Linked DNA regions of Mus musculus. The protein of the gene in region 3 purifies or fractionates together with the protein of the main gene of each other region. This does not show direct contact. Links are inferred from orthologs where the notes say so. Each region holds a gene or a part of one and is shown on either strand. Other genes may lie near its edges.

Region 1 (4,274 bases), on a different chromosome or scaffold from region 3:
ATGGATTTCGGAGTTCAAGGCCAGCCTGGTCTACAGAGTGAGTTCCAGGACAGCCAGGGCTACACAGAGAAACCCTGTCTCGAAAAACCCAAAAAAAGATGAAAACAGTCACAAATTGTATTATACCAAGTCTAAAAATGCTTAACATTATGCCTCACTGACACAGGTCATAAAGACAATGCAGCAGGTTACCAGCCAGGCCTTAGAAACAAGCCAAACTGAAGAGTACTCCCTGTGGAAAGCAAAACCTCCAATTCTAAAACTCTCTTGACATTTGATTCACTACAAAAATAATTTAGTTCATCACAATAAACAGAATCATTAAAGGTTGCTGGAAAACAAACCCAAAGGATTACAGCTTAAAAAGCAATCCCCCCAAATGCAAATGTTCATTTGCCATTGCCATAAATGACTAAGAAGTACACACTAACACCAGCTATTTTAAGCAATATAATTTCTTCTGAAATTATCCTTAGCCTAAATGAAAACCTGATCATCAAGATGTAAAAGGTGTTTAAAGTATCTCCCTCTATACACATTATATACTTTAAAAAAAAAATAGACCACAGTCCAACACATTTGGATAGTTTATTATCTTAAACTGGCAATTTCTGAAACTAGAATTGGCTCCTTTTACAAGAATAAAATATAAAAACCACTCGAATTTTTAAAAACAAATGACAGACTGGTCAAAATGTACTATAATGTCAAATGTCTTGGGAGTGAAGATCTTATGACCATGTCCCAAACTATGTAATACTGAAGGATGAAGTGCTTTAACCCTTTTGAAATTATGCAGCAAATTAATTTGGATGATTTCTTTAAATATAATCCACTAATAAAGTGTTGATAACACGAATCTAGTTGGACAAGAATTAACAAGGGCTCTGGATGCCCCGGCTTTATACATTCTGCTAAAAGGTGCTTCTAGAGCCACCGGGCACCCAGAACATCAAGTCTCCACTTTCTGCGCTTAGCTGCACGGTTTCACAGTTGCACAAAAGCACTGAAATTATCATAAAGTAGGAAGGCGTTCCAGTAAAGCGAAGAGAAGTGTGTAATAGACAGACACTTCCTTTTCCATTATCCAGACTCGGAAAGTATTTATAAATAAGCTCCCTCAAAAAGAACTCGCTCCAGCTTTAGCCGTCTCGTTTACAGTGCTAATGCAATTCTGAATATGTACTCCTGTGAAAATGAAAAAAGTCATTTCCCAAGCAGTCAAGTAGCAACTAGCCAAATAACAGACGCTCAAAGAAAGCTGTTTCTAATAAATACAAAAAATTATATAATAAGCTATGATAATCTTCCCAATAACTTCCTAGTGTCAAAGGCAGAGATAATATCTATTTGTACAAGAGGGAAATGGGAAATTATTAAATATTTTCTCCCAAACTAAGAAGGCCTTTCCCTTCTGGCGATGTCATAGCGCAATCATCTACTGATGAAAGAGAATGGAGCCCGTTCACTTCACTCAATCCATGAAGCAAAACTGAGTGTCACCAGCCATAGGTTTGATTTTTCTTTCTAGAAGAGGCTATTTAAAGCAAAAGGATTAAAGTTCACTGGCAGCTGATAGATTCTGCTTTAAGAGCTTGCACAACATAGCCCCTATCTGTCACTTGCTTTTTTTCCCCACACACCATCCACTCTGCACCAAATCCCCATTGTTCTATATAAAAACTCACAGCTAATGATACCTGAATAGCAACTGCTACATTTACATTACAGATGATCCTTCATGGAACTCTACAGACCCACATTTACTCGATGTCTTCTTTCTCCCATCAAATCCAAATTTGGCCACCAACTGATCACAACTGATAAGGGGAAAAGATCAGAGCTTCTCTTCCAGACTGATGGATATCACTCCAGAGCCAGATGAGTTAGTCCCCAAAAGGTTACCGGATAAATCAACCAAAGAAGAACAGATTTATTTAAACGGGCATCTTATAACCATCTTCTTTAAAAAAAAAGAAAACTATTCTGTACAGAAATTCACACAAAAAAAGAAAAAGCAAAAAAGGTACACACTGCCCACGAGACAGAAGGTCCGTCTCCCTCTTGCACGAAGGGTTTCTTGTGAGTCTGGATTCCTGGGACACCACTTCCTCCCCAAAGCAGGCTGGCCAGGACAGAGGCAGTCTTGGAGGAAGTGGGGACCCCGACATCCGAGCCGGGCACCTGCCTCCCAGCCTCGAGGACACCCGCAGCGACACCCACACTCACCCATCTTTCCTCTTCGCCTTGTAGACGTGCCCGTAAGTGCCTCGACCAACTTTGCAGCCCTCGTATTCAAACAGGTCCTCGACCCGCTCCCGCTCGCTGCTCAGCTTCACTTTAAAGTCATAGTCCATTGTCACAGCCTCCAAGGCCGGGGTGCTGGGGCGGGGGGCCGAGGGCCGCGGTGGGGACCGGGCCGCGCAGCAGCCGCAGCCCCCGAGCTACACCCGCCGGCCGCAGCACCAGCCCGCCTCACGAGGCGACGGCAGGAGGCCCCGCGCGGGCGCCGGGGACATCCAGGGGAGCGCCGGGCGGTCCCCGCGGGCGCGCGACAGCCGAGGGACGCGCTGGGGGCGGGGAGCAGCGTCCGCCCTTGTCCCCGCGCTCCCGGGGCGCCGGCTCGCGCGCGGTTGGCCGCGCGTGCTGCTGCGGGTGCGACGCGGGGCGGCCACGGCTGACTCTGCTCCTCGCCCACGCGCGTCCGCGCCTCACCTTCTCCCACACGCGCTCACGAACACTCAGGCTGCCATCCGCCCGGACAGACCAGCGACGCCACACAACAGCCGGTAGCTCCTCCGAGAGAGGAGGAGGAGAAGGAGGAGGAGGAGGAGGGCGAGGAGGAGGAGGAGGGAGAGAGAGGACGAGCGCGGAACACGGCAGCCGCTGTCGTAAAAACGTCGCGAAGCCTCGCGCTGCCTCCGCCCCACCTGTGAGCGACTCCGGAGCTGGCAGCCGTCTCTTCTGACGCCGGCAGGCGAAAGGGCCTCGCTCAGCCGCGGAGCGGAGCTGCTGACAGACTTACCACGTGGACTAACCCAGTCGCCAGTGCGGCCAGAAACTCCAAGGCTCAAGTGCACGGGTGGCTGCAGAAGCAGTCTTTACCACGACGCCGCGAATTCAGAACGTTGCATGATGGGATTGGTAGTCCGTCACGCAACGAGTTTCTGCTGCATGGAGATTATTTTTCCCAAAGCCGCATCTCTACAATCCAATTTACTTAGCCCATATAAACTTAGCAAAAGACACCTGTTAGGTCGTGGGGGATGGGGGGTGGGGGGCGGTTATTTTGTATTGAAGTCACTTCTGAACTCCAGGATTTAGAAAAGGGCAATTACTGCTCCCCACCCCCACCCCAAAGACTCCAGGTTTTTCCTTTCGTAGCCTCAACCTGTTTCTAAATACTACAATAAACTACGTGGTTGTATTTAAGATTTCTCTTCTTTCTTTGACATCTTTATACCACGGGGGGGGGGGGGGCGGTGGGGGGGGGAACTTAGTGAAGGGGACTGGGGAGATGGGTTAGAGTGCTAGAACGCTTGCCACGTGTTGTAATTTGATTTCTGTTGCTGTGATAAAACACCATGTCCACATATAACTTGGCGAGGGAAAGATTTATATCAACTTACAGGTAACAGTCTGCCACCAAAAAAGCCAAGACACCTGTTTAAAGAGGAAAAAAAAAAAGCTTTTAATCCACACATGTTTAAGTGTGCCTGTAATACTAAAGCAAGGGAGACAAAAAATAAATAAATAAATAAATAAATAAAATAAATAATAAAAAAGGCAGGATCTCTGCAGCAGGATGACCGGCTAGCCTTACTGAAATGGTATGCTCTCAAGGTTCCATGATAGACATCAACCTCTAGACTCCAGACGTATGCACTCATGCTTATACTTGCACACATCTGTGCATACACAAGAATGCTTATAGCCGGGCGTGGTGGCGCGCACCTTTAATCCCAGCACTTGGGAGGCAGAGGCAGGCAGGATTCTGAGTTTGAGGCGAGCCTGGTCTACAGAGTGAGTTCCACGACAGCCAGGGCTACACAGAGAAACCCTGTCACGGAAAACACAAACAAACAAACAAAATACGCTTATACACACAGGCAGATAAATTGGCAGAAATATCAAATAGGTCGTTGATAGTAAAGCAAGAATGTGTCTGCTATAGGCCTTACATGCCCTCTAATGACCCAGATTTGATTCCTAGCACCCGCATGGTGATGGCTCAGAATCCTCTGTAGCTCTAGTTCCAGGGGAGCTGACACACT
Region 2 (4,230 bases), on a different chromosome or scaffold from region 3:
CAGGTGAGTCAGAGTTCAAGGCCAGTCTGGTCTACAGAGTGAGTTTCTACAGCTAGGACCATATAGAAGAGACCTTGTCTTAAACTGCACACCCCCCCTCAAACAAAAGACCACTACCATATTTGTTCTTGTAAGAAGGCAAATGAGTCTGTACATTGCCCTGCAACATATTCCCCAGCTCTGGTGACTTACGGCCTGGGTATCTGAAGATCTTTCCTCCAGCCTATCAGAATGTAAGGCCCGATGTAAAGGTGGTGGGTTGGGAAGTGAACGTTTGTTAGCCAGGCCAGAGTTCTTGGGACCAAGGCAATGAGGAAGAGTAGGCAGAGGCAAAGTAAGGGGACAATCACCCTGTGATTGTGCACCCTGACTCCTGCCCTCTCCTGGATTCCCAAGGCAGGCAGGGGCACAGCACCTGGTAAGGTGACACAAGCTGCCACAGCAGCCACATTGTGTCCTTGCAACATAGTCACACCTGTCTCTGAGCACAGGCTCACCTCCTACCTCTATCACACTCCAAGTTAATAAACTACAAAACCACCATGACCCCACTCCATGATCTCACTCCATAGCCCTGGCTGGCCTGGGGATCTGCCTGCCTCTCTGTCTCTCAAGTGCTGGGTTTAAAGGCATGTGCTACCTACCATACCCAGACAATAACAGAGTTCTATCACAGTGACTCTGTGACTCTGGGCTATAATGGGATATATATGGACTATATTTTATCATATGCATGGGATATGAGAAGGTCAGGCATGCTTATGCTCTCTTGTCTGGGATGCTATAGGCCTAGATCAAGGATGCCATTGTCTGTCAGACCCAGTGTGGCACAGGGCACTCCTGACAAAGACCAACACTTGTACCTGGGGAATGGCTGCCACGTGGCAATCACTACACTACACACTAGGTGCTAAGGTGGGATAATGAGGAAGACTGTCAACGCTCTGCCCATCTGCTTAGTAATTTGCATTCTGCATCAGAGAGAGGAAAAGAAAAGAATCCTGAGGCAGGCCTGCCTCTGTCACATGAGGATGGGGGCTATGAGCTCAGTGGCCTAACATCTAACACACCCTGTTCCTCCCAGCACCGACTGGGTGTCCAGAGGCTGCAGCCAGCCAGTCACAGACTCTATCTGCTCCAGAACCAAGAATGTAGACTGGGAAATGCAAGGGTCCTCAAAATCCATTTCTGTTCCACCTGAGACCCAGAGTGAGCAAAGCATCATAGAATAAGCTGGAAACAAAGCTACTACCTGACCCTGGCTCCCCTGATGGGGCCTGCTAGGCTCCACAGACACACCGCTCATCCATTCAAGGCCAACCGGGGAAAGGGAGTCGTCATTTCCAGCTAACTAGGGGTATGGATGTCCATCTGTAAACGGATCTTCTAGGACCCTCCAAACCGTGACATATCCTAAGGAGGTCTCAGGGTCAGTCACCTACAAGGTGTCCCATGTTCATGACTCTGCAACTACCCACAACTCCCAGTACTCCAGTTTAGATCATGAGAATTACAGGACCATCATTCCTTGGGCTCACGGTCAGATCTTGGGATTTTAAGGGGTGACTACAAGTTATGGGCCTGCATATCAGCACTCCACACTCTCACCTAATCACATCTTCATTACCCAGAGTCCATAAGACCCCGAGACTGTATGGAGACACAGCTTCTTTTATAGAGGATGGGCAAAGGCCAGAACTTCCTGCCTCCAGCCAGCTGCTGAGTCCCATCAACGGCTGTGTCCTCCCAGAGAAGGGACCAGCCTGGTGAGTTGTTGCCCTCCCTTCACTTCCTCAGCAAGCCAAGGGGGCTTTCACAGCAGCTCAGACCGACTCACTCTGCTGGTTAGTAGGGAGGAAGCAGTGTGTAAGTCCAGTTCGCTCAGGAGTCAGCTGGACCAGGGGAGCATAAGCAACCTCACCGCTTTCTCCTATCCAATGAGCTAGAGACCAGGAGGGATCGGCGTCTAGACTGAACCAATACCTAGCACACCTTCTCCAACAGGCCTACCCGGAACAGGAAAAGCTGAGTCTAGATGTTCCCAGACACCAGCAGGCCTGGAGATGCTTCCGGGGAAGATGCCCATGCTTAGATTGTTCCTGAACACCGGGCCCTCTAAGCAGCCCCAGCCTTGGGAAGCAGGGGCGGGGAGTCTTAAGAGTAGCTGCCCCTGTCAGGTGCTCCCTAGGAGCTCGTATCCAGGCCCCTTGCCCTCCACCGCTCCGGCGGGCACGCGGGCCATGTGAGCAGCAGGTGCAAGACGCGGGGGTGGCAGGGATGACACAAACCATCCTAGCGCCCACCTCCCACAGCCTGCCGGCCTCCGCCACAGCCCTCCTGCCACACCAGGCTGGCGCTTCCGTCTGGATGCCGCGATGGAGGTGGGAGGCGGTTCCCTCCCGTTCACCGGCTCCAACGCACAGCGCCCCCCGCAGCCGGCCCTCCCGCCAAGGACGCCGCTCCGCAGTGGCCCCCGCCCCGCCCTCCGGCCCGGCACAGCGCTCCCGCCAGGCCTCGGCGCCCGCCCGGCGGCGGCCTGCGGCGCGGTCCCGCCCCCGACCCGATCCCGCCGCTTACCCGGAGCGCTGCAGTCCGCACACACCTCCGCTCGCGGCCCCTTCCGGGACATCCTCAGCGGCGACGCGGCCGCAGCCCTCTGGGCCAGCGTGGGGGGCGCGGGCGGCGGGCCCGGGCGGCGGCGGCGGCCCTGCGGCCCGGCCCGGCTCCCGCAAGGCCCCGGCGAGGCTCCGCGCGCGCGGCCAACCGTCCGCCCCCGGGGCTGGCCCGGAACCCGCCGTGCCCGCCCGCCCGCTCGCCCTCGGGCGCCCTCCGCCCCGCGCCGCCCCGCGCCGCCCCGCGCCGCCCCGCCGCCGCTCGCCGCTCTCCCCGCCCCCTGCGCGGCCCAGGCCGCTCCTGCAGGAAGCAGTGAAAGCCCTGCCCACCGGGGGAGGGGCGGCCCGCACCCCGCCCCGGCGCTCCGCTCAGCTCCGTGGCTGAGCCTCTCGGAGAAAGGAAGCCTGCGCGCAGGCGGGAGTGGACGGGGGTTCTTAAAGGAGCCGCGGCCCGCGCCCGCCTGGTCTGCAACCGAGACACACGCTAGCACTTTGACCTTCACTTTCCGATTGGGGAGTGGTCCAGGGGACGCTCGGCCCAAAAACCGAGAGACGGACGTGGTGGGGATCGGGGTGGACAGGAAGCATTCCCAGGCACAATGCTCCTAGCGGTCAGAGGCTGGGTTGGGGTGAGGTGTGTGTTCTGGTCCCCTGTGTCCAAGTCAGTGTGTCCAGGTGGGTCTGTGGCCATATCCCTGCGGTGTACACTCACTACCACCAATATGGACGGCCAGGTGCCCGAGAGGTCACTTAACTGTGACTCCCTCTCTGTGGGACTAAAAATACATCATTCTTGTTTCAAATAGGAAAGCAAAGAATCTGGGTGATTATTAAGAGTGTTGTGTGCACCAGTAATAACTTGCTATCTGTTTCGTGTACATCAACGATGTTTCCGGGCTGCCCGACGGGTGTGTATGTATCCTAAGCATATGCTTATAACAGGAGCCAATTTTTGTAAGGATTTTTTTTTTCTTGGACTTCTCATGGAGACGGGGGTGGGGGGAGCAAGGAACTAAAGTGCATGTTGCACGTGGGTGCACCCCACACTGAGCATGCTCCCCCATACACGTGTGACCCGTTTGTGCCCAGCCCCCACCCCTACAGCCGCAAAAGGGCTGTCAGAGAACTCAGCTTATGGAGAGGGCAAAAGCACACAACACCAGGTTGGGGGGGGGGGGGTGAGGGGCGGCGGCGCGCTCGTAGGGGAAGGGGCAGGTCAGCGGTGGCAGAGTTAAGGGAGATTCCTGGGTGTTAGGGATTCCTGCTCAGTAATAAAACGGAGGTTTGAGGGGAGTCCTTGGTTAGGGGTGTCTGAGTGGGTCTATTTCTCCCAGCAATGCCAGAGCAGCAGTGACTTGTGGGTGGGCAGGCTCCTTCCCTAGGGGGAGACAAGTAATGCTTATGAGTCACACCACCCAAAATACACGCAAAGTTCCATCGCCTTTTGCTGCAACCCAGATTGACAAGTTTGTTTGAAATTGTGATCCACAGGATATATTTATAATCTCACCTTAAAAAAAAATCTTGCAGACACCCCCCACCCCCAACCAGTAGCTCAGCAGGTGGGGCTTCTGCCAGCAAAGGGTGGTGGTCATGCCACACCATGCTGCACTCATAC
Region 3 (2,999 bases):
GAGTCTATTTTCTGATTGTTACATTCAGGAAAACAGCTCATATTCTCTGAGAGACGGGTGGGCTTCTGTAGCAGAAGCAAGTCTCTAGGAGAGGAGGCTGAGTCCATTGCTCAGGGGTGGTTAGAACTCCTTAGTGCTTTTTGAAACAGGTCTAAAATTTATAGAATGGAAAGCTATGACTGTCTGGCGCACAATCTGCTAGAGCCTCTTCCTTGGGAGTCACACAGAGGCTGCAGACTGTAGGGTCAGCAGCTTGGATGCTGCTGGAATGAAAAGCGCTCCCCTTGGTTTACTGTCCCTCACTGTGGCATTCAGAAGACTCTGCACTTGATGGCGGCTAGTAATCGAGATGACTGAGCATTATCACGCTGGCCTTAAATTTACGTTAGCCGACTTTGCTGGGTGGGTATCTTGGTTCCAAGGTTCAGAAATGTATTTATAACAGTTTTTGTGTATGTGCAGGTGTTTGGGAGATGGACAGCTTAGATGATCCTATTTCCTGATAGTTTGAAATTAAATATGGTGTGTGTATGTATGCTCTTCTAAACTTGTGTTTAATGATCTGAACTGTTCTATTTTCTCAACTCAGGTGCTATCTCCTCTGAAGAAATCATTAAATATGCGCACAGGATTAGTGCAAGCAATGCTGTCTGTGCTCCACTGACTTGGGTTCCAGGTAACAGAGCTTCTTACATCAGATGAATGCAGGTTTGAAAGGACTGAGGTATCTAAATAAGATCATTTAACGTAGAATGTACTCATCTAGAGTAACATCTGCTAACAAAGGCATTTTCTTCAGTGTTGGAAGGAATGTCAGGTGTTACCCTCTTCTACCCTTCTACCCTTACTGTGTAGCCCTGGCTGTCCGGGGACTCATTTTGTAGACCAGGCTGGCCTGGGAAGAGAAGTCAGAGTTCTGCCTCACTCTGCCTTAAAGGTACGTGCCACCGTGCCCAGCTTAAGGATTTCCACTGTAGCTTCAGGCAGTGTGTGGCAGTATATACTGCAAAGGCAGGTACTGAAGAGGCCGAGGCAGGACTGCAGGCTTGAGGCTCACAAAGCACTTGCGTCTTTTAGTGTGAACTAAGGGCAGCTCATTCTTCAAGAACATATAAATGCTTTTTGAAAGCCTGAGTTAAAAGCTGTCTTTACTGTTTTAGGAGACCCTCGGAGGCCATACCCAACCGATTTAGAGATGAGAAGTGGATTGTTGGGTCAGATGAACAATCCTTCCACCAGTGGTGTGAATGGTCACCTCCCGGGAGATGCCCTTGCAGCAGGTAGACTGCCAGGTAATGCCAACTGGATGGGTGTTTTTAAGCAGACAGAGGTGCCCGTGAGGCACTGTCTGGTAGTGGACATCAAGATCTGTTACACAGGTTCCCTGCCAGTTTGTCATCCAAAGACCCTGCAGTGATGCACAGGACACTGACCTAAGCCCCTATGTCCCTCATGTGCATCTATTTCCTGGCACCCTCCCCAGGCCTGGCCTTCCCCTGTCGTGACCACTCTGAAGAGCATTTTTGCAGTTGAGAGGCATGCCCCCAAATAGAATAAGCACATTTTGTAGGTGCTGTGTTTTAATGTGGAAGAACCTTCCTAAGGAGAGGACATAGTGGGGACTGTGCTTTCTGAAGCCCATTGTAGCCATGGGCCACACTGTGTTAAAGTGTGGATTTGGGAATCTGCTTATTTGTGTTTAGCATTGCGAATCCCTAACCTTGTTAGATCCTTGGTACTACAAGGTAGGTGGGTGGGTAGATAGAATTAAGGTACTTGCATAGAGGGAGGGGATTTGAGTAGGCTGATCACAAGTAGGACTAATCCCATGTGCCTCTTTTCTCCAGATGTCCTTGCTCCGCAGTACCCATGGCAGTCAAATGACATGTCTGTGAACATGCTGCCACCAAATCACAGCAGTGACTTTCTGTTGGAGCCTCCTGGGCACAACAAAGAAAATGAAGATGATGTTGAGGTTATGTCAACAGACTCTTCGAGCAGCAGTAGCGACTCTGACTGAGAAAGGTGTGGCATGCACAGACTCCAGTGCGGCAGAGTTCTGTCAAGGGGGAAAGAAAAGCACAGACCTAAGGAGCCCATGAAAATCAGCGGGTTTTCTTCCTAGAGCCCGAGCCCCTGGTTTTCTATCTGTTACACAATGTTTGAGGATTAGTCAGAATTACTGTAGTGTTTGGTTGTACATAGCAGCCCTGGCATGAGACTGAAGAGGAACTCACACAACTCATGGAGCATACTTAGAAAGAGCACTGAGCCAGACGTGGTGGCTCACACCTATAGTCCCAGCACCTGGGAGGCTGAGGGATTGCTGTGAGTGTCGGGCCGCCTTGAGCTACAGAATGAGCTGAGCCACCAGGGTAACAGAGATAAGAACAGGCATCGGAGCGCTGTGTGATACTTCAGAAGTGCTCACTTGAACAACTCAATATATATATGTGGTAAATACTGTAATTTGTGTAAATAAACTTGGTTTTGTTTGTATTTAATTTTTTTCAATTTTTTAAAAAATATTTTTAAAATTTAGGTACACCTTCAGTGTAGGAAGGAAACATTTAAATCCAGTTGAATTTGAGCTGGGCAGTGGTGGCACATGCCTTTAATCCAGCACTCAGGAGGCAGAGGTAGGTAGGCAGATCTGAGTTTGGGGCCAACTTTGTCTACAAAGCAAGTTCTAGGAGTACAGAGAAACCCTGTCTGGGGAAAAAAAATCCAGATGTATTTTATAATAAAATAAGATTCTGGTATATATGATACAGTATATACAATAAAATGACTATCTTAACTCATAGTCACAATTAAGTCTCTGAGATCATTAAGTTGAAACTGAAAACATTTATTACAACCCCATACTACACAGACACATACACACAGGATAAGGAAAGTTAGAATAGATGGCCATCTCATGCCATCACCTTGTCTCCTTGTGACTTTTCTCATCTTTTACAGGACTGGGTCTCCCTGCTTGTATAAGGTACCTAGGT
Region 4 (3,500 bases), on a different chromosome or scaffold from region 3:
GTAAATACCCGGAGCTGAGCAGCTGACACAGTGTAAAGGGAGACTTACTTCATCTGAAACAGATTTGGGTTCAGATTGAGCTCTGATACTGATAGTTTCTTAATGCCACTTAATAAAAGAAAAAATGCTAAAGAAAGATGTTAGTGTCAAAAGAAGTAACCTTCTAAGTATTTATACACTTTACCTGTTTAGCAGAATATATCACATAAGAATTATGAAAGTTATATAAAGCATGAAATTCTTGTCCCTAAATATTAAGTCAAAGCAAACAAATAAACAAAAACCTGGTTACAAAATAGTACCTTAGAGTAAGTCCTTATTTTTTAAAAATCCCAAATTTTAACTCTGTCCCACAGATTTAAGTGGTTTCTGGTTTAACTCAAGCCCTCCCCTCCTTGGATTTTTTTTTAAAGATGTCAGGTGTTATAATTTTGTTTTGAAATTTTTCCATTAGCTGGCAATGTGGCTTATTTGATAAAGAGTGCTTGCTGAACATGCAGGGAGCTCTGGTAGGCAGGAAGACATGGCATTAAATTTAGGCCTGTTATCCCAGGACTGGACAGAGCAGAAGGATCAGTAGTTCAAGGTTATTCTTGACCACATAGTGACTTAGAGGCCGTCCTGCAATACCTGAGACCTTGTCTCAAAGAAAAATAGAACAATAACAAAAGAACCAGCATATATCTACATGCCAGCTTTTCTCCACCCATTTTTTTCATTAATTTCATTTCATTAGATTGTCTTTACTAGCCTTTTATCATTTTACCCTGAGAAATGAGAATAAAATCAACAGCCAGGTAGAATCATTGTGTGCCAGTCTAACTGCCGGCTTGTTTTTAGGAATGGGTGGGAGAACACTGCTTAAAAGAACCAGAACGACTGTGTACAGACAAAGAACTGATACTGGACCCCGTGCTTTCAAACATGCAAGCACAGAAATTGTTGCAGCTTATCTGCTATCCTCATGGCATTAAGGAGTGTACAGAGGGGGACAACCTGCAAAGACAGCACATTAAGCGCATTCTTCAGGTAAGCGGTCCATTCCAGGGATGCTGGTCAGGCCATCCATCACAATGTGATTCTTCAAAGAACTACTTTGTTACTGTTGTTGTTTCTGACCTTGATTTTTTTTCCATTTTTTATTAGGTATTTAGCTCATTTACATTTCCAATGCTATACCAAAAGTCCCCCATACCCACCCACCCCCAATCCCCTACCCACCCACTCCCCCTTTTTGGCCCTGGTGTTCCCCTGTACTGGGGCATATAAAGTTTGCATGTCCAATGGGCCTCTCTTTCCAGTGATGGCCGACTAGGCCATCTTTTGATACATATGCAGCTAGAGTCAAGAGCTCCGGGGTACTGGTTAGTTCATAATGTTGTTCCGCCTATAGGGTTGCAGATCCCTTTAGCTCCTTGGCTACTTTCTCTAGCTCCTCCATTGGGAGCCCTGTGATCCATCCATTGTTGGAAAGATCAGGAATTCAAGGCCCATACCTAAACATGATAAAAGCAATTTACAGCAAACCAGTAGCCAACATCAAAGTAAATGGAGAGAAGCTGGAAGCAATCCCACTAAAATCAGGGACTAGACAAGGCTGCCCACTTTCTCCTGACCTTGATTTTAATTCTGACTTTTGTTTTATTCTGTAATTTTCTTTACAGTGACATTGCCACTGCTGGCTACTCAGTAGATACAGTCAATAGCAAAGGGCATATATTGTATTTTAAGTCAGTGGTATATTTACTTGATACATAGTATTTATGATAGCTCAATTTTAAATGTGTTATTTAAGAGATTCATCATTTTGGAGTGAGGTTGGCTAATTGGTAAATGGATTCTGAGAGAAGCCATACTTGTCTGATTTCTACTTCCTGGCTTGTTGGTGAACGTATTTTGATGCTTGAATCTACTTTGTTGTGCATGTTCATTTTTATCAGGCATGGGATTGGAAGTCTTTAAGGCTTGTGAGTTTCCTTGCTGGGTATGAGTATTAATTACTGTAAGGCTGTGTTAGCATACATTCAGTATTCAAAATGTGACAATTCTTCGAATTTTCTCCAGAATCTTGAGCAGTGGACGTTGAGACAGTCCTGGCTGGAGCTCCAGCTCATGATCAAACAGTGCTTGAAGGACCCTGTGAGTATATATTGACAGCACACGTGTGAACTGAATAGAAAAGCAGAATGTCATTGGTGCTTGAAAATCAAGAAGTGTGTAGACAAGTTAGCTTTCTTTTTCCTGATACTAGAGCTCTGGTTCTGTGGCCGAAATGAATAATTTGCTGGACAATATCGCAAAGGCAACGATAGAAGTGTTCCAGCAATCTGCAGACCTAAATAATAATGCCTCCAATTCTGGCATGAGCCTCTTCAACCCAAACACTATTGGAAGTGTTGATCCAAGTAGCACAAGACAGAATGGAATAAAGACATTCTTAAGGTATTTATAGTTTTGTTGGGCTACCGTTGATATTTCATATGTCACAATAGCCTTGATTAGCATAATTCATTTTTTATTAAGCTTCAGGAAATGTAAGGGAAATAATAACTTACAAGTGACAGTTTCTGTTACTCAGCCAGGTAGGAGGGAAAAGTGGGGTGAGTGATGTCTTGGCACGTTACATTTTTTGTTGTAGGTCCAGGTACCTCAGTGACACAGATGGACTTAAGTTTGATGTGTGGTATCTCTGTCTTTGGGTCATTCACTAAACATAACATACTATCTATGTGTCTTTAATGATAGTTTTGTACAAATACAGTAATTTGTATTTCATCATGAAAGACAGATTGGTTTTCATGTCATCATTTTGGTAAAAGGTAAATAGGGGGTTTTAGAATTTAAAGATCGCTTATTCCTTAGCTTGAACACAATCCCATTGCATATCATCACCATGACTGAAACGTATAGTGTTCATAGAGAGAACATATGGTGTTTCATGGTCAGAAAGGCAGGATCCATGAGTCACTGAAAACAGTTTACAATGCAAAAAATGCCTTCCCAGAAGAGCACCTTTTACTCCTCAGCAGATGTGGGTATAAAGCGTAAGCAAATGCCTGGTCTTTAGCAAAAGGAGAAAGTGCAGACATGAAATGAGAACTCTAGTCTGTGCCTTGTGCACCGGTGTTTGACTGTGGCATCTGCATCGTCTGTGAGAGCAGAGGCAGCTGCGTTCTCGGGTGTAACGCCTGTTTCTGATTTTAGTTCCTCTGAACGCAGGGGTGTGTGGCTGGTGGCCCCCCTCATCGCCAGGCTGCCAACATCTGTGCAGGGAAGAGTGTTGAAAGCCGCTGGGGAAGAGCTGGAGAAGGGGCAGCACCTGGGTTCCTCTTCAAAGAAGGAAAGAGATAGGCAGAAGCAGAAAAGGTACGCTGGCAGGTGCCTCGCGTCAAGGCTGGCATCCGAAGGACCCGGAGGAAGCCTAGAAGCCTCCATCAAAGTCACATCGCAGCCAGCTCCACGGGGTGGGGCTTGTAGAACGGCCAACTCTCTGTTTAGCA
Region 5 (2,904 bases), on a different chromosome or scaffold from region 3:
AATCCTAATCAAATTAGAATCAAAACTGGCTTGAGATTGAGACTGAAGAAGCAGCCCCAATAATGATCACAATATAACTGTCAATTAAAAATACACACAAAGGGCTTCCTTACTTGATTTTGGAAAGCTTCTGTAGAATGATGCTGAGCTTTTCCAGGATGTGAAGATCAAGTTTCGGCGTTCGCAGCAGCACAGAACAAGTACGAAAAAACAAAGAGTTACTACAGGCTTCCAGGAATGGCTGCAGGGACTCTGCAAAACAAGTCACCATGCTTAATGTTAAGAAGTATAAAAAGGAAATTAAAAAAGCCAAACCAGAACCGTGTGAGTCATGCATCAACACTGGCTTGGACTGTCATGCTTTCATCCTTAAACATTAGGACAAAATTATCATTTGACAAGCAAAAGCAAACTCTTGTTGGGCGTCCCAAGGAGCAGGTTATTATCTAACACAAAGCATGCGTGAAAGAAAAGGAGAACATGTTCCTTCAATAAACTTCTAACTGGAAGCCTAGTCCAGAGGATTGTAAATAAGAAATTCTGTTGAAGTATAAATTATTTTTCTGTAAAACCCCAATAACAACTCTGTATTAGATAGGAAAGAACACTTTGAGCATGAGAGCTGATGAATGAGAGTTCTAACAGATTGAAAACCTAAGAATAAAAATGTTAAGGAATCACTGTAGAAGAACAGAGCAGCCAAACTTGAGGATCAAGGAAGTCAGGCCTGGGGAGGAGTAGAGCCTCCTTGCAGCTGATCCATGGTCTGGCACAGGAGTGCAAGACTGGAGGAAGTATCTGTGATTTGTAGGGACATAGGGAGGTTTGGGGGGTCCCAATTTCAGTCCTCTGGCTCTGAGGATCAGAATTGAAAGTAATTCTCGGGGACCATGAGACCTTAGCCCTACGAAAAGAATCACAGGCAACTAAGAATGTGGGTAAGGGGGATGGGGGAGTACGGGAGGGATGGGTGGGTGGGGGGGTCCAAGGAAGAGCACACCTGCTGCTTACCCTATACCAAATGAAAGCATACACATACCTTTAACATTCTACAGATTGAGCAGCTTGTATTCATGTATTTAGACATATGCGTGTGTGTGTGTGTGTGTGTGTGTGTGTGTGTGTGTGTTTACACACATATGTGTTTAACAATTAATGAAAAAAGAGGCGTCAAGTTTGAAAGAGAACAAAGAAGAACATATGGGAAGATTTGAAAGAGAAAAGGGAATAGTTCATGATGTAATTATATAATAATCTGAAAACAGAATAAGCAAAAACTTGAGAGTTCACGAAATAAAATGAATTTATCTGAAAAGTTAAAATAAAAATAAAAAACTAAAATAATCAAAACAAAAAAGAAATTACAAACTTAAAAGAGAGGAAATGAGAGATGACTTTGCTTATATTTGCCTTAAGAATGAAACCATTACTAAGGTCTTATAAATGAATTAGAAAAGATGTACCTATTATTTTTTAATGAGCACATCTAACCCAATTATGAGAGAATAAAATATACTCAATCTCATAATAGCCAGACATAGTGCCGCACGCCTTTAATCCCAGTACTCAGGAGGCAGAGGTAGGCAGATTTCTGAGTTGGAGGCCAGCCTGGTCTACAGAGTGAGTTCCAAGACAGCCAGGGCTATGCAGAGAAACCCTGTCTCAAAAAACAAAAACAAAACCAACCAAGCAAACAAAAATATGTAAAATAAAATAAAACGGCACAAGTCGCTTCCGTTCCACTCGAGCACCGGGGTGCCTTGCCCGACACCCGCAAGGGCCAACACAGGATTCCCCACGGGATCCTAAGACCTCTGGTGAGTGGAACACAACTTCTGCCAGGAGACAGGTTCGAACACCAGATATCTGGGCACCTTCCCTGCAAGAAGAGAGCTTGCCTGCAGAGAATACTCTGACCACTGAAACTAAGGAGAGAGCTAGCCTCCCAGGTCTGCTTATAGAGGCTAACAGAGTCACCTGAGGAATAAGCTCTAACCAGAGACAACTATAACAGCTAGCTTCAGAGATCACCAGATGGCGAAAGGCAAATGTAAGAATCCTACTAACAGAAATCAAGACCACTCACCATCATCAAAATGCAGCACTCCCACGCCACCTAGTCCTGGGCACCCCAACACAACCGAAAATCTAGACCCAGATTTAAAAACATTTCTCATGATGATGGTAGAGGACATCAAGTAGGACTTTCATAACTCACTTAAAGAAATACAGGAGAGCACTGCTAAAGAGTTACAGGTCCTTAAAGAAAAACAGGAAAACACAACCAAGCAGTTAGAAGTCCTTAAAGAAAAACAGGAAAACACATCCAAACAGGTGATGGACATGAACAAAACCGTACTAGAACTAAAAAGGGAAGTAGACACAATAAAGAAAACCCAAAGCGAGGCAACGCTGGAGATAGAAACCCTAGGAAAGAGATCTGGAAACACAGATGCGAGCATCAGCAACAGAATACAAGAAATGGAAGAGAGAATCTCAGGTGCAGAAGATTCCATAGAGAACATCGGCACAACAATCAAAGAAAATACAAAATGCAAAAGAATCCTAACTCAAAACATCCAGGAAATCCAGGACACAATGAGAAGACCAAACCTATGGATAATAGGAGTGCATGAGAATGAAGATTTTCAACTTAAAGGGCCAGCAAATATCTTCAACAAAATTATAGAAGAAAACTTCCCAAACAAAGAAAGAGATGCCCATGATCATACAAGAAGCCTACAGAACTCCAAATAGACTGGACCAGAAAAGAAATTCCTCCCGACACATAATAATCAGAACAACAAATGCACTAAATAAAGATAGAATATTAAAAGCAGTAAGGGAGAAAGGTCAAGTAACATATAAAGGCAGGCCTATCAGAACTACACCAGACTTTTCAAC
Region 6 (4,122 bases), on a different chromosome or scaffold from region 3:
TCATGTTTTACAGGTAAAACCCACAACACTGGTCCTCAAACAAGAATTAAGTATATACATCAGCTTGCTAAACTAAAACTGACCCTGAAGAGATTTCAGTATGTCCTTGGAATGGTCGGGAGTGGGGGGCTTTCAGGAAGGTCTATATTGGTGCTATATTAAGTAGCATATCCTTTTGATGGCTTAATTGCTTTCAGTGATGGAACATGGAGGAAACGAGCTCCGGGAGTCTGACAGTAACACTACAATGCTAGACTGGTGAGCGACTGACCGCCTTACCTCAAAGCGGGAAAAAAATCAACTCCTCAACAAGTTTTAGCAAGTTCCTCACATACTTTGTGTGCAGTCCCATTTCCCCAGAATCAAGGAAGCACATAAACACGTTCTGCCAAATCAAAGAAACCCAAGTGACTAGGCTTGCCAACTGAGGAAGTCAAATCCGGAGCTAATCTATTCTTTTCCTCCTAAGAGCTACTTTGAGTCCTAGATGACGTCAGACCAGATTCCACCCAGACCAATTAGGTCCAAGAGTCCAATGGCAGGTGACGCCCTAGAAAGAAATTTCTGAGAGGATGAAGTTTCCACTGATAGTTTCAGGGCTCTTTCCTCAGGACTTCGCCTGTGGATAGAGGGGTAATCCTGGGGCTGGGGAACATACACGTGTCTCTATGGGAACCTAATGCGAAGCCAAGCAGAACAAAGCGCAAACGATCACGGTAGTTCAAAGACTTGGGGTTCTAAAGGAAGGACACGAGGTACGGCGAGGTGGGAAGGCTGATTTTGGCAAGAAAGGTCAGAAATCGTGGAAGCGGCTCTTATGTTTCACCCAAAGGCTCTCCAGTGGAAATGGAGAAACATCCCATGTCTCTCGTTGCAGTGTAGGCTGCTCTCCCGCCACACCCCTCCTCTTCTGAAAAACTGAGATCCGTGGTGCCTCCCATCCCCAGAAAAGACCTGAACTTCATCCCCGCGCGCCATCCCGTGCCTTTTGCCCAGGACTCAGCAGAGCCTGTCCTTCCCCTCTGCACCCGCACCTCTGGCTCTCACCGTCCGCGGGGACGCCTCTCCGAGTCTCAGTCAAGTAGCAAGCGGACTCGGTGCCACCTCTGGCCTGCGGCTGCCTGCAATCTCGGCTGTGAGCTCACATCCTGCGCCCGCCGACTCCGGAGTTACAGCCCAACCCTACAGATCGGGAAAGAGACTACAAGACCCGGCATGCACAGCGCGCGAGCTAGCAGTGGGTCGAAAACTTGACGTTTGACTTCCTTCTACTTCCGGGTTCGGGAACAAATCTACTTCCCGTGTCGTAGTCCCCGCCCCCTGAGCAAAGGCTTCTGGGCCTAGTGGGCAGTTATCGCGTGTTGCATCTATTTCCCAGCAAGCACCGCAGGGTGGGCGGATGCTGGTGCTTCTGGACTCGGGGGTGACGTGTGGCTCCTAGATCTTGTCTCCGTGGCAGCAGCCGGTTGCAGTTGCCGGAGAGAAGCTTCTACCGACAGTCGTCAGGGCCGCAGAGCGCTGCCGAGGCGGCTCGTCAGGTAGGTCGGGGACGTGGAGGACTTGGGACGGGAGGAGGCCGACGTGACCCAGCGCCGAGGATTGGCTGGACCGGGTGGAAAGCGGCGGTTTCCCTACCTCGGAGTTTTTAGGGATCGGGTTTACACTCAGCTCAGCCTGGCTCCCTCGATGTCACCGGTGAACCGAGGTTCGGACATTGCAGGAGTATAATTTAGTAAAGACAGCCGCGCCATTTGCCCAGTTCTTCCTGTGTCTACGCCTTCTCCAAACTCCACAGCTACAACTATTTGTTGTGCCTGCGGACCTGGGAGAGCCAGGGAGCGTAGAGCCAGGCACAGCCTTCATGCTTAGGAAACTCAATCCCACGTTCCTGGAGCATATTTGTGGTGGGAGTTAGGGGTGGGCTGGGGATCTGATAGCCCGCTATGTACCATATCTATCTTACCCATCTCTTTAAACTGTCCTTTCCAGCCATACTCTCGGTCCAATCCAGATCCATGGCAATCGTGTTTGGCTCCTTTCTTCACTTTTCTCCAAAGTGCTGCATTAAGCATTACTAAATTCTGTCAATTCAGACATCATCTGATCTCTGAACTCCCGTTCGGCTTCAAATCTTTTCTTCTGTTACAGCCTTCTGTTTCCACATGAATTCATTCATTCTGCAAACATTATCAGAGTGCCACTTACCTGCAGGCAGCCTGCTTAGAGATGCTTGGCTCACAGTGAGAAATTTGGAAAGGACGCCTCTATTCTGCTCTTCCCTGTTCCCTCTGTTTGGCCAAGGCAGTGAGTGATCTTTCCAACTCTGATCAATAAGCACTGCCGAAATCCACTGCTAGCGGTTATCATTATAAAAAATAATCCAAGTTCAGCTGGGTGTGGTGGCGCATGCCTTTAATCCCAGCACTTGGGAGGCAGAGGCAGGTGGATTTCTGAGTTCGAGGCCAGCCTGGTCTACAAAAGTGAGTTCCAGGACAGCCAGGGCTACACAGAGAAACCCTGTCTCGACAAACAAAACAAAACCCAAGTTCATTTACTCATCCAGCTATAGCCGGTTGCCAGCCTTGCTCCCTCTTGCTGTTTTGATCCCAGGACCCTTTGTGTCAAAATCTTCCAGCCTTAGGACGCCCCCATATGCTTTTCCCTATGCCCACAATGTCCCTCTCCCTTCTCTTAGAAGATTTTCTGGACGTGTTTAGGTCCCAGATTGTTTTTTCTGAAGGCTTTTGTTGACCTCTCTGCCTACTTGAGTTATGTCCTCCTGTAGAATCCTGACAGAGCACTGAGCGCTGTTCCTCATACCCTGATCACAGTTTGTGTTTATTTGCTTACTGTCTGTCTAGAGACACTATGTTCACTCTGTCCTTGGAGCTGGGATTCAATAAGGGTTTTTGTTTTTGATAAATGCATGTTAACTCAGAAGGCAGTAGGAGTTCAAACAAGTGTTTGCAGTCTCATGTCATATGAACTCTTCCATAGGACCTGGTCCAGTTAGTCCCTAGGAGCTCTTAAATACTCAAACTATCCAACTAGAACAACACAGGAAGGCAATTGTTTTTTTGTTTTTTGTTTTTTTGAGACAAGGGCTTGTGTAGCACAGGATAGCCTGGAACTCAGTATGCAGCCCAGGTTGGTCCTAAACGTGTGTCAGTCTTCTAGCAACACAGTGAGTTGCTAGAATTAGAGTCACGCATGACCATAGCTAGCTTTTAACTCTCATTTTAAAATTCATCCTTTTTGTTTTGTTTTGTTTTTCATTTCAGGGCATGCATTTGAAAAGCCTTTTTGGGACCTTAAACAGGGATTTATGACTATGCTTTTATCTCGCTCGCAGCTTAGGCCAGATACACCCAAGTGAACTGAAATTGTCTTTTCTCCTTGCTTAGTGATATTTCTGTAAAAATCACTTGATGCAATATAATCCTTCAGGTTCACGTGTCTGTTTTCCTCCAGCTAAGCTGTGCTGCTCCAGGGCAGGCACCATGTTGCATTCATCTTTACGCCCAGCATCTAGCAGTGTCGGCATGTAGTAGGCACTCAAGAAATGTATGTTGAATGAACGATGTCTGTGACAAGCAACTGGACTTTCCTCTTTCCTGACCCTTGCTCCTATGACATACCTCCTGATTGCCACTGTCACCCCTTCAAAGCAGACCTCTAGGGCTTCCTGGAAGGGAAACAGGTGAGGCTGAGAGCTGGAGGCAGAGGGATGGGTGTATGAGGAGGGCTGGGGTGGTGTCTGGGATGAAATTCAGGTCGCTGCTGGTTTCTCTGCAGCTATGGCCAAGGACATCTTGGGCGAGGCAGGGCTGCATTTTGATGAACTGAACAAGCTCCGAGTGTTGGACCCAGAGGTCACCCAGCAGACTGTGGAGCTCAAGGAGGAGTGCAAGGACTTTGTGGACAGTGAGTACCATCTGGAGACACAGTGTTGTTCTGCTTTGAGCAGTTTCCTTACCTGACCTTGGCCATTGTTCTTGGGTCTACCAGAATGAAGTTGCGTGCTCTCTGGATTGAGCCTGGTCTCTGGGTTCCCATGTGTACCCAACCTTCTCTGCTTGCCCTCTTACACTGCCATGGAGTCCCACATTTAGTGCCAAGCAA
Region 7 (3,500 bases), on a different chromosome or scaffold from region 3:
ATTAGAATTCAAAGATCCACCTGCCTCAGCTTCCTAAGTGCTGAGACTAAAGGCACAGGCCACCACTGCCTGGCCAAGTTGTGCATCATAATTCCACTGACCACCCACTTACTGCTACATAGAACCAACCAATGGGAATGCAGTAAGGAAGAACTTAAGAAAAAAAAGGACACTATACCTTCACACAATACTGTTAGGAGTCCACTTCGCTAGGGTAAGAACTTTCTAAGTGGCCTGTGACAGTGACTAACAGGAGACAAGAACTGCTGAATATCCTTTCATTATCTTAAGATGTTGAGCAGTATTTTAGCTAATAAACTGTGCTGCTCTCACAGCGGTTTAGAGAAGACACTGAAGAACAAGCAAGCAGCAGAGTGAGAATGCAGCGGGACGTGTGGCCATGAGATAACACAGCCTCACTTCTTTCTTCCCCACCGACTAAGGAGAAGAGATCTGAAGCAAGAATGCCCTTAAGTCTGAGCTCTAAGAGCACCACAGGATACATACATACACACATACACACACACACACACGCACACGCACACGCACACGCTAGATAAGAGGAACAGCAGCACAGCCTGGCAACACTGCACAGGCCAGCACAGCAGTGAAAGGGGAACCCCACAGTTTGACGTTATTATGGTCTAACTCCCCCCAGAATAGCTGTAGTCATTTTGTTCATGCCTGCCAGCTATTTCATATTGTTGCTGTAACATGCCTACCAGTCACTGACACAAAAAAGTGACTTGGCTAAAGGACATGCTGACCACATACCCTGGTTTTGTCCTGTATGTTCTGAATATCCTGTATGAGGTCTTAAGAAATTCCACAATGCTTTACATAGGAGTCTTCAAATCAAAGGCCAATATGGACTGTTATGTCTGGCTTAAGTCAGAGCTGGTCACCCGGAGCTAGTCTTCCTGCGCCTGTGTATGAGCTCGCTGTGGCTTTCGTGCTGACACTGAAGAATGCTGCTAACAAGCCCTGACCCCAGCAGACATCGCTGTCTCTTACCCTGGCATGTCTCACGTGTAGGCTTCTCAAACACTTCTTCTTGATCAAATCCCTTTTTAGACTCTTGTTCTTTGTATGATCGGTAGAAAACAGACCTAAAAACACAGTTGCAAAGGTCATTTATATTTTCTTTCAGTAAAATGGCTTAGATTACAGCAATGGTGTTTGGCTTAACTGATATCTGAGAGACAATTTGAACCACAAAACAGGCACAAGGGTCACTATGTACTAGGGTCAAGGTTCAGTTTAAATGGATTTTACATGTAGCATTTGACTCACAACTGTAAACACTTGGCATCACACATGAGACCAGGGGGACCCAGGTAATAAGTCCAGCCTCCTACTGACAGAATTCCTCTCCTAGCAGCCCGAGCACGGCCTGCCTTCATCTGCTCAAGTATCCCCACTGAGGCGTTTTTATATGAAGTTATGATGTCCACACTTCAGTCCTGGTGCTGCTTTATAGAATTATATAAGGAGAAAAGTTTCCCCTCTAAATCCCCCGTGTTTGAAAGAACCTTCTTATGCTACTACATATTTAAGATTAATCTATTGTCAGTAAGAAAGGGGAATATAGGAAGCCAAGTCATGGTGCACATTTGTAATCCCAAAACCCAGAAGACTGGGATGAAGGACTGCTGTGAGTTCAAAGCCAACCTGGACTACACTGTAAGTTCAAAGCCAGCCTGGACTACACTGTAAGTTCAAGGCCAGCTTCAACTACATAGTGAAATTGTCTCTAAAAACAAACAAGAAAACAGATAAAACACACCATTATTTTACCAGCAGTTATTTCAGAGTTCTATTTTCTATTTCTTCCTTAGATGTTTCTATATTATCTAAATGCAATTACATATTTGCTTACAACAGAAAAACATTTAAAATATCACATCTGAAAACCCAGAGACACAAGACTCACCGCCAATAGCTGTATGACCACCAGCCAGGTCTGCTTTTGGATTAGGGCAGTCAAGCTTATTCTTTAAAAACTTTATGAAAAAAAATGCATTTCCACTATATCTGTGTTTCAACAAATATTACTATAAGCTGACCTGAAAAAGCCTCGATCCACAGCTGAACGATTCATGATAACAGAGTCTTCTTGATTATAGCCCGTGTAGGATGCAATGGCCACAATTGAGTTGATTCCTACAGTACATTCAAAAACAAACAGTAAAGGACCCTCTGGGAAGCAGGGAAACCTATCCTTTCATTGAAATCCATTTTCTTTCATCCTATTTGTCACAAACACTTGGATGTTTGTATCATGGAAACTGTTGCTGTCTCCTCCTCCCTGAACCTGTGTGTGAGGCAAATGCTCTGCTTGCTTAACCCTGAAACCATCACTCCCAGGGAAGCCATCCTTACTATCAGTACTCCTCCATGTAACATGGTCTATAACTACAGAGTGCTTCCCCTAACCCTAAATAAACAAGCTTTATTGTTCTCACGACTCTAAGGTAAGAACATACATACGCCTCCAGAGTGAATTAGCGACAAACTCAAGCCTCAGACCCTAGCCTCCTAATTTCTAATTTTAAATATGAAACCAACACCACCCTGCTGCTCTCTCCCCATGCCACCACAGTTGTGGCACCATCTTTCAGGCCACAGTTAGATCTTAGTAGCTGCTGCCCTAACTACTGTAATGGATAGGTGGCTAGGTGTGTGCCACAGGTCTACCACCTGACACTCGGGGAGGCAAGGGCAGGAGGACCATGTTAGCTCAGGAATATGAAAACAGCCTGGGCAACATAGGACCATCCCATCTTTAAACAGCACCAGGAAGGAGGAGGAGTGGGGAGAGGGAGGCAATGAAAGGGGAGGTGGGAGAGGGAGGGAACGAGAAAAAAAGAAGGTGAGCCCACACTATGGCATTTGCTGTACAAGTCTGGCCAACTAAGTCTGACCCCAGAACCTATATAAAATGGGAAGAACCAACTCCACAAAACTGTCCTATGATCTATATGTATGGCACAGCATCTGTGCACAGTAATAATAAACAATAAGAGATTGATTCATTGTAAGGAATTATGAAGCCCAAAGTTGTATTCCCAGCACTAACGAAGCGTGTAGGAAACTCAGCCTATGGGATATAGTGACCCAATCTTTTATCAAAGAAAAAAAAAAAGAGGAAAGAGGAGGAAGAAGAAGATTGATAACACATAATATAGTAAACTAAAGCACTAGAAAGTGTTCAAACTGAGGAAGACACTGGAAGACACAGATACCTCACAGTTCCATGAATCAGGATTAATATTGTGGAGATGGGTATCCTACCATGGGAAAGCTACCAACATAATCCCTAGTGCTATTCTGCACAGAGACAGAGAAAGCAATCTTATCATTCATTTGAAAGCACAAGAGACCCAGACAGCAAACGCAGTCCTGAGCATAAAAATACTGCCTAACTTCAAAGTATACTACAGGCCAAAGTAACAAAAACAGCAAAAAATCAGATATAGAGATCAATGGAATAAAACAGA

What was found.
Region 1: the proteins of Med4 (region 3) and Cdk8 purify together in Homo sapiens (affinity purification with mass spectrometry; 9 studies listed by BioGRID and IntAct, counting the BioPlex papers as one, with this or other methods). This does not show direct contact. The link is inferred for Mus musculus from reciprocal best matches to the Homo sapiens genes MED4 and CDK8.
Region 2: the proteins of Med4 (region 3) and Git1 purify together in Homo sapiens (affinity purification with mass spectrometry; 3 studies listed by BioGRID and IntAct, with this or other methods). This does not show direct contact. The link is inferred for Mus musculus from reciprocal best matches to the Homo sapiens genes MED4 and GIT1.
Region 4: the proteins of Med4 (region 3) and Med12l purify together in Homo sapiens (affinity purification with mass spectrometry; 3 studies listed by BioGRID and IntAct, with this or other methods). This does not show direct contact. The link is inferred for Mus musculus from reciprocal best matches to the Homo sapiens genes MED4 and MED12L.
Region 5: the proteins of Med4 (region 3) and Ccdc138 purify together in Homo sapiens (affinity purification with mass spectrometry; 3 studies listed by BioGRID and IntAct, with this or other methods). This does not show direct contact. The link is inferred for Mus musculus from reciprocal best matches to the Homo sapiens genes MED4 and CCDC138.
Region 6: the proteins of Med4 (region 3) and Ift20 purify together in Homo sapiens (affinity purification with mass spectrometry; 3 studies listed by BioGRID and IntAct, with this or other methods). This does not show direct contact. The link is inferred for Mus musculus from reciprocal best matches to the Homo sapiens genes MED4 and IFT20.
Region 7: the proteins of Med4 (region 3) and Polr2b purify together in Homo sapiens (affinity purification with mass spectrometry; 3 studies listed by BioGRID and IntAct, with this or other methods). This does not show direct contact. The link is inferred for Mus musculus from reciprocal best matches to the Homo sapiens genes MED4 and POLR2B.

Annotation. Positions count from the first base shown.
Region 1 is NC_000071.6:146,229,776-146,234,049, reverse strand, and holds the start of Cdk8 (cyclin-dependent kinase 8), read right to left. Parts: upstream 2,801-4,274; 5' UTR 2,358-2,800; coding exon 2,230-2,357; intron 1-2,229.
Region 2 is NC_000077.6:77,491,982-77,496,211, reverse strand, and holds the start of Git1 (ARF GTPase-activating protein GIT1), read right to left. Parts: upstream 2,801-4,230; 5' UTR 2,630-2,800; coding exon 2,578-2,629; intron 1-2,577. UniProt on the Homo sapiens protein: GTPase-activating protein for ADP ribosylation factor family members, including ARF1.
Region 3 is NC_000080.6:73,516,047-73,519,045, forward strand, and holds the end of Med4 (mediator of RNA polymerase II transcription subunit 4), read left to right. Parts: intron 1-589; coding exon 590-676; intron 677-1,160; coding exon 1,161-1,292; intron 1,293-1,847; coding exon 1,848-2,020; 3' UTR 2,021-2,499; downstream 2,500-2,999. UniProt on the Homo sapiens protein: Component of the Mediator complex, a coactivator involved in the regulated transcription of nearly all RNA polymerase II-dependent genes.
Region 4 is NC_000069.6:59,254,978-59,258,477, forward strand, and holds part of Med12l (mediator of RNA polymerase II transcription subunit 12-like protein), read left to right. Parts: intron 1-840; coding exon 841-1,029; intron 1,030-2,064; coding exon 2,065-2,139; intron 2,140-2,251; coding exon 2,252-2,442; intron 2,443-3,204; coding exon 3,205-3,366; intron 3,367-3,500. UniProt on the Homo sapiens protein: May be a component of the Mediator complex, a coactivator involved in the regulated transcription of nearly all RNA polymerase II-dependent genes.
Region 5 is NC_000076.6:58,570,937-58,573,840, reverse strand, and holds part of Ccdc138 (coiled-coil domain-containing protein 138), read right to left. Parts: intron 253-2,904; coding exon 114-252; intron 1-113.
Region 6 is NC_000077.6:78,535,039-78,539,160, forward strand, and holds the start of Ift20 (intraflagellar transport protein 20 homolog), read left to right. Parts: upstream 1-1,322; 5' UTR 1,323-1,538; intron 1,539-3,471; 5' UTR 3,472-3,700; intron 3,701-3,795; 5' UTR 3,796-3,797; coding exon 3,798-3,924; intron 3,925-4,122. UniProt on the Homo sapiens protein: Part of intraflagellar transport (IFT) particles involved in ciliary process assembly. May play a role in the trafficking of ciliary membrane proteins from the Golgi complex to the cilium.
Region 7 is NC_000071.6:77,337,984-77,341,483, reverse strand, and holds part of Polr2b (DNA-directed RNA polymerase II subunit RPB2), read right to left. Parts: intron 2,164-3,500; coding exon 2,067-2,163; intron 1,110-2,066; coding exon 1,015-1,109; intron 1-1,014. UniProt on the Homo sapiens protein: Catalytic core component of RNA polymerase II (Pol II), a DNA-dependent RNA polymerase which synthesizes mRNA precursors and many functional non-coding RNAs using the four ribonucleoside triphosphates as substrates.